2 linked regions of the Anolis sagrei genome follow. The protein of the gene in region 2 purifies or fractionates together with the protein of the main gene of each other region. This does not show direct contact. Links are inferred from orthologs where the notes say so. Each region holds a gene or a part of one and is shown on either strand. Other genes may lie near its edges. The genes, in order: CCNB1 and PKMYT1.

Region 1 (3,923 bases), on a different chromosome or scaffold from region 2:
CAAGAAGAGATGATTTTTACCTTTTTGGCAGCATCCCTGGGCTTTGCTTCGCAGGCCTTGTTGCCAATGTCTCCCAAGGCAGTCCTAGACCTCAAGGTGGGCTTGGCAATCCCGATCACCTGCTTGGTGGCTGCCATTCCGGGCTTGGTTTTGTTCTCCAGGTTGACTTTCGTGTTCTGTAAGAAAGAGAGGAACATTTAGGTCATATAGGTAACACAAGTTTTACAGAAGGGTTTGCCTAACATGAGGATAACAACAGAGACAGAGGAGGAAAGGAGTGAGCTTTAAAATTCCTGCTATGTACGCAACTTGGGGTAAATAAAGATTAAGGATTTTAATTGCTCTGGAAGATGGAGAGTGCATCCACACTGCAGTTTGACACCACTTTGGCTGCTCAATCCTATGAAAACATGTGAGCTTAGTGTTCCAAGGTATTCAGCTATCTTTACCGAAGAGGAATGGTGCCTCTCCAAATGACAGGTCACAGGATTCCAAAGCATTGAGCCATAGCAGTTAAAGTGGGATCAAACTGCATAATTCTGTAGTGTAGATGCAGCATTTGTAAGACTACAGCCAACGCCCTTCTCACCTCCTTCCCTCATCCATTAGTCCTGTATCTCCTCTACAGAGTTTTTGCTGTTCTGTGCCTCCAAGTCCTTTCTGAGTTATGATGGAGCTCTCTTAAAGGAGCGGTTATCTTTGTTCTCTGAGGCTGAGAGAGTGATCTGCTCAATGACACCTAAGTGGAGGTGCAAACTCTGTTCTCCAGAATCCTAGCTGCACCTTCAAAACATGATACCACACTGGGCTGCTGTGTGTTTGAGCTCTCTTAAAGGGGCAGCTGTCTTTGTTTTCTTCCGAGGCTGAGAGAGTGTGATCTGCTCAAGGTCACCTAAGTGCAGGTACAAACTCCGCTCACCAGAATCCTAGTTCCACCTTCAAAACATGATACCACACTGGATTGCTGTGAGTTTTCCAGGCTGTTGGCTATGTTACAGAAGCATTCTCTCCTGACATTTCACCTACATCTATGGCAGACATACTTAGAGGTTATGAGGCCTGTTGGAAACTAAGCAAATTACTTTTTTTTTCTTTAGAGACGAGTCTGGGAAACTGGGTAGAGGTTGAAAGACTGGGGAGTTCATGCACAACATACCCAATTATAAGTGATAGGTAAGGCACAAGAGATTTTTTTTTGGCAGAAAGCAGGGTGTTTTTATTTAATATACATATTTTATAGTAATGTATATATTCAATTTATTGAATTGTGTAATTAATGCAATAGATGCAATGTATTGTTTGTATTTTATGCAGGTGCTTTAACTGTGTTGTGCTCCACATTTATAAGGAATGCAATTTATTATGATTTCATTGCAATGTCTATAAAGCAGTAGCAGTGTGAGCAAGAATTATATACTTTCTAGTCCAGGCCTGGGCCAACTTGGGCCTTCCTCCAGGTGTTTTGGACTCCAAATCCCACCATTCCTAACAGCCTCAGGCCCTTTCCTTTTCCCCCTCAGCCGCTTAACCGGCTGAGGGGGAAAAGGAAGGGGCCTGAAGCTGTTAGGAATGGTGGGATTTGGAGTCCAAAACACCTAGAGGAAGGCCCAAGTGTACCCAGGCCTATTCTAGTCTATGCCAAGTAGGGTTCCTATTTGGTGAAGCACTACCCCTTTAAGAAGGAAAATGTACACAAGCCTAGGATATTACAAACACCTGGCACCTGGGGAGCAGGATTTAGAAAGATTAGTCAATGAGAAGCGGGTAAGATATGGAAATTTGAGTATGTAAGTGCTTAAAAATCCTACCATAGGAATTCACTAAGCTTTGTGCTTAGCACCACGCGACTGAGAAATAAAGCTCTTTGTTCCTTCCTTTTTTTGGCTTAAAGAGAGGTAATATAAACATATTTGAAAGAGGGCACGCCTCATGCTACGTCCACACTTTGAATACAGTTTGATACCGCTTTAACTGTCATGGCTGAAAGTTAAAGCTGAGAAATAGGAAAGACTTCCTTCCCAAAACTTTTTGGATTAAGAGAAACTGTTGGGTGATATAAACATATCTGAAAGATATGCTGTGTCCACACTTTGGAATGAATGCATTTTGATACCGATTTAACGGTCATGGCTGAAAATTAAAGCTGAGAAATAGGAAATACTTCCTTCTCAAACCTTTTTGGCTTAAGAGAGACTGTTGGGTGATAGAAACATATCTGAAAGATATGCTGCATCCACACTTTGGAATGAATGCAGTTTGATACCGCTTTAACTGCTACGGCATCCTTGAAATTGTAGTTTTGCAAGCTCTCTCTAGCCCTCTTAACCAAAGAGGGCTACTGCCTGCCCAAATTAAAACTCCCATGATGCCATACCATTGAGCCAGTTAAAGCGGTATCAAACTGCATTAATTCTACCATGTAGAAACAGCCTAAGTTCACTAAGTTTTCTCAGGAGTTAAAACCTATATACAACGTTGGAGAAAGTAGTTAAGAGCGAGCCAGGCGACTATAAATAAATATAAATATGGTTATAGCAGTAACTCATAATACAATTGCAGCCCAAACAAGGAGAGATGGCGAGGCACCCTTTCCCCCGTTAACTCTGCGTGTAGGTCGCTCTTCCTACCCGAGTGACCCGCAACGCCATGGCTCCGGCTTTCGCTTCCTGCAGCACTAGCTTCTCACAACCGCCCGCCGGCCTTCCTGCCTCCGTTTGATGCACGAGTGTCCGATGGCTCTCACCGCCAGTTTAAAATTCGCTCCGGCTGCTCTCATTGGCTGCCTGGCCGGATTCGATCGCTCCCGATTGGCTACCCTTGAATGCGTTTCTACGGCTACGGCAGGCCCTTTTTTCCCCCTCACACTCTTTTTGCTAGCGTTCAAAAAAAGGGAAGCGATTGGCTGTCGTCGGGTCACGTGACATCTCGCGCCCCACCCCCAGATTAGAAACTCAGCTGGAGCAGAGAAGGCTGTTGAGATAATGAGGGGAAGGTGGGCCTAATCCTCAATTGAAGCAAGGCCGTATTTACACTAGTGTAGGATTAATCCAGTGACTTTTTGCAGCCATGAATCAATGCAATACAATAGTTATCAATCTGTGGGTCCCCAGATGTTTTATTATTTATGTATTTATTTATTTATAACATTTATATGCTGCCCTTCTGAATCCAAAGCGGACTCAGCGGCGTACAAATTATATGTACATACAAGATATTATATTGTTAGCATAGCACAATATTAGTATTATATATTACTATATTGTACTATACCACTATACTGTAATATTGGTGATAGTACAATAGCTGGGACCCAATGCTGCTAGCGTTATGATGTTTCCAGAATGTTGCTTTGAGTACAGACATTGCAGAACTCAGGTGCGGGTTCGCAAGTTTGAATTTGGGGAGTGGTGTGAGCTCCGGCTGTTAGCCCCAGCTTCTGCCAACCTAGCAGTTCGAAAACATGCATGCTAGGTTGGCAGAAGTTGAGGCTAACAGCGGGAACTCACACCACTCCCCAAATTCAGACTGCCAACCTTTCAGTCAGCAGCTCAGCAGTTTAACCCGCTGCACCACCAGCTTGTATACAAGGATTATAAAGGGAAAGGCTATAATAAATCCTTTGTTTCCTTCTCACACATAAGGGTAGAAAAGTAGTGAAGAGTACAGACATCACACTGGCGACTTTCTCACACATAAATGTTACCTTTGTCTCCCCAAAAAATAAAAAAGTGGAAAGAGAAATCAGTTTTAATTCTCATAAGAAAGGTACCTCCTTGCCCTATAATTTTAAGGGCTGTATGAGAAGCAGAAATTCAACAGGTTAAATGTATTATCTCAAAACAGTTAAACTCTTAAAGCGATGTTGAATTTTTCATTGTTATATCTAATAGATGTCTACTTATTTTTTTCTGTTTCCCTTATAA
Region 2 (3,923 bases):
AAAGACTTTGTCCTGCACTTAAAAACAATCGGCGCTGACAAACGACCATCTGTCAGCTGCAAATGGCCACCTGACTCCGATCTGCACGCAACATTCGCCAATACATCAAGCAGTCCTAGCCATTTGGGAAGTATCCGACATATGATCCAATAGAAGAACCAGCATAGTGATCTTGTTTGCGGCGTACTAATATTGTTACGTACCTAATGATGATGATGATAGTAATAATATATATATATATATATATATATATATATATATATATTAAAAGCACAGCAGACAATGAACCAGTACAAGAAAACTGCACTCCAAACCAGAGCTGACAGCTGACACAACAAAGCATTGCATGGGCAGTTCCTTGACAAAATTGAAGGAAAAGTTGATAAGGAGAATACCTGGTTATGGTTATGAAGAAGGAGACAGAAGGCCTGATTTTTGTAGCCCAGGAGCAAGCCATCAGAACAAATGCAATTAAGGCCAGGATTGAAAAATCAGCTGATGACCCAAAATACAGACTGTGCAAGGAAGCTGATGAAACCATGGTCATCTCCTCAGCTGTTGCAAGAAAATCACAAAGATGGACTACAAACAAAGGCACAACTCTGTGGCCCAAATGATTCACTAGAACTTATGTCACAAGTACCACCTGCCAGCAGTAAAGAATTGGTGGGATCATAAACCCGCAAAGGTGGTGGAAAATGAACACGCAAAAATACTGTGGGACTTTCGAATCCAGACTGACAAAGCTTTGGAACACAATACACCAGACATCACAACTGTGGAAAAGAAAAGAGTTTGGATTATTGATGTCGCCATACCAGGTGACAGTCGCATTAAGGAAAAGCAACAAGAAAAACTCAGCCGTTATCAGGACCTCAAAATCAAACTGCAAAGGCTCTGGCATAAACCAGTACAGGTGGTCCCAGTGGTCATTGGCGCACTGGGTGCCGTGCCAAAAGATCTCAGCCAGCATTTGGAAACAACAAATATTGACAAAATCACAATCTGTCAACTGCAAAAGGCCACCTTAGTTGGATCTGCATGCCTCATTCGAAAATACATCACACAGCCCTAGACGCTTGGGAAGGGTTCAACTTGTGATTTTGTGATACAAAATCCAGCATATAGATCTCATTTGCTGTGACATACTGTGGTTTTGTGTCAGTAAAATTATTATTATTATTATTATTATTATTATTATTATTATTATTCGCCGACACATCACACAGTCGTAGACACTTGGGAAGTGTCTGAAGTGTGATCCAATACAACAGCCAGCAGAGTGATCTTGTCTGCTGCGGAGTCATCTTGTTGTGTTTCAAATAATAATAATAATAATAATAATAATAATAATAATAATAATAATAACAATAATAATAATACACATAATTTGAAAATACATCACACAGTCCTGGATGCTTGGGAAGTCTTCAACTTGTGATTTTGTGACACAAAATCCAGCATATAGATCTCGTTTGCTGTGACATACTGTGCTTTTGTGTCAGTAAAATTATTATTATTATTATTATTATTATTATTATTATTATTCGCCGATACATTACACAGTCCTAGACACTTGGGAAGTGTCCGACATGTGATCCAATACAACAGCCAGCAGAGTGATCTTGTCTGCTGCGGAGTCATCTTGTTGTGTTTCAAATAATAATAGTAATAATAATAATAATAATAATAATAATAATAATAATATACTTGGGAAGTGTCCAACGTGTGAGCCAATACAATAGTCAGCACAGTGTCTGCTGTGGACTCATCTTGTTGTGTTTCAAATAATAATAATAATAATAATAATAATAATAAAGTGTCTGACGTGTGATCCAATACAACAGTCAGCACAGTGTCTGCTGTGGACTCATCTTGTTGTGTTTCAAATAATAATAATGATAATAATAATAATCATCATCATCATCATCATCTTGGGAAGTGTCTGACATGTGATCCAATACAACAGTCAGCACAGTGTCTGCTGTGGACTCATCTTGTTGTGTTTCAAATAATAATAATAATAATAAAATAATAATAATACACTTGGGAAGTGTCTGACGTGCGATCCAATACAGCAGCCAGCAGAGTGATCTTGTCTGCTGTGGACTGATCTTGTTGTGTTTCAAATAATAATAATAATAATGTCATCTGGCAACTTTAACTGAGAGGGAGGGAAAACAGGATAATATTTCCTCCAGCACACAATAATAATAATTTTAGTGACACCTAGGAGCCTCAATTCACACAGGAAGGGAGAAAAAGACTATATTTCCATCACTAACATCATAATAACACAACATTCTGGCAACCTTAATTCTCAAAGGGAGGGAGAAAAGAGCCATGCTTCCACCAATATACAGCATTACCATTAACAATAAAGGATATCTGTCAAGCCCCCCTTTCCCTTCCTTCCCCTCTCAATTCTCCCCAATTTAAGACATCCCCCCATATTTGGGAGGCAGGGAACGCCTTGCCTCTTGGCCTCTCCAATTTCCTCTGAAGTGTTGAGGGAATATTTCTCTCTCGCCAGACACACACACACAAATACCCGGATGCAGCCGCCTTCTCTTCTCTTCTCCTTCTCCTTCTCCTCTCCTCGCGCCAAGGGCGACCCCTCCCACTCCCCTTCCTCAGAACGTTGGGGGCCAACGCTCCGCGCTCGCGCCAAAATTCCAAACGGGCTCGCCCACTTCCGCCTCGCCTACGTCACCGCGGCAGCAGCAGCAGCAGTGCGCGCGCACTCAGAAGCGAGGGAAAGGATGGGGGGGGGTTAAGAGCGCGGGAAGGCACAAGCCCCGCCCCCTTTCCTCTTTTCCCCCCCTCCCCCGCCATTTTTTTTCTCTCTCTCTCTTTTAGCCAATCAGGAGCCACCAAAGGAGGTGATTGACAGGAAGGAAAGAGACACGTCTTGGCTGTGTCTTACGGTGTCTAACTCAGGCATAGGCAAACTTGTGCCCTTCAGATGTTTTGGATTTCAACTCCCACCATTCCTAACAGCCTCAGGCCCCTTCCTTTTCCCCCTCAGCCGCTCCTAACAGCCTCAGGCCCCTTCCTTTTCCCCCTCAGCCGCTCCTAACAGCCTCAGGCCCCTTCCTTTTCCCCCTCAGCCGCTTAAGCGGCTGAGGGGGAAAAGGAAGGGGCCTGAGGCTGTTAGGAATGGTGGGAGTTGAAATCCAAAACATCTGAAGGGCTCAAGTTTGCCCATTCTTAGTCTTAACTTAATGACAAACTTGTGTCAGTGACAAAATGCAGCTAGACTAGAATTAACACAGTTTGGCACCACTTTAACTGCCAGGGCTCAATGTTTGGAGTGTGTAGTTTTTGTCATGAATGCTGGGGAAAGCATTTCATTTCGTTGTACAATGTACAACCACACCACAATTGAAGAGAGGTATTGACAAGCTGGAATGTGGCCAAAAATGATCAAGGGTCTGGAGAACAAGCCCCATGAGGAGCGGCTAAAAGAGCTCAGCCTTTTTAGCCCGAAGAAGAGACGGCTGAGAAGAGACATGATAGCCATGTATAAATATGTGAGAGGAAGTCACAAGGAGGAGGGAGCAAGCTTGTTTTCAACTGCCCTGGAGACTTGGACGTGGAACAATGGCTTCAAACTACTAGAAAGGAGATTCCATCTGAACATTAGGAAGAACTTCCTGTGAAAGTTGTTCAGCAGTGGAACTCTCTGCCCCGGAGGCTTCTTCTTTGGAGGCTTTTAAACAGAGGCTGGATGGCCATCTGTCGGGGGTGCTTTGAATGTAATTTTCCTTCTTAGCGGGGGGTTGGACTCAATGGCCCGTGAGGCCTCTTCCAACTCTATGATTCTAATGTCCTGAACAGTTCTGGTCCAGATTACCTGTCTGAACGTATCTCCTGCTATGAACCATCACAAAGCTTAAGATCATCAGGAGAGGCCCTGCTCT

The links.
Region 1: the proteins of PKMYT1 (region 2) and CCNB1 purify together in Homo sapiens (affinity purification with mass spectrometry; 5 studies listed by BioGRID and IntAct, with this or other methods). This does not show direct contact. The link is inferred for Anolis sagrei from reciprocal best matches to the Homo sapiens genes PKMYT1 and CCNB1.

The regions. Positions count from the first base shown.
Region 1 is NC_090022.1:266,459,227-266,463,149, forward strand, and holds the start of CCNB1 (G2/mitotic-specific cyclin-B1), read right to left. Parts: upstream 2,848-3,923; 5' UTR 2,649-2,847; coding exon 2,628-2,648; intron 177-2,627; coding exon 21-176; intron 1-20. UniProt on the Homo sapiens protein: Essential for the control of the cell cycle at the G2/M (mitosis) transition.
Region 2 is NC_090026.1:23,688,340-23,692,262, forward strand, and holds the start of PKMYT1 (membrane-associated tyrosine- and threonine-specific cdc2-inhibitory kinase), read right to left. Parts: upstream 2,724-3,923; 5' UTR 2,478-2,723; intron 1-2,477. UniProt on the Homo sapiens protein: Acts as a negative regulator of entry into mitosis (G2 to M transition) by phosphorylation of the CDK1 kinase specifically when CDK1 is complexed to cyclins. Mediates phosphorylation of CDK1 predominantly on 'Thr-14'. Also involved in Golgi fragmentation.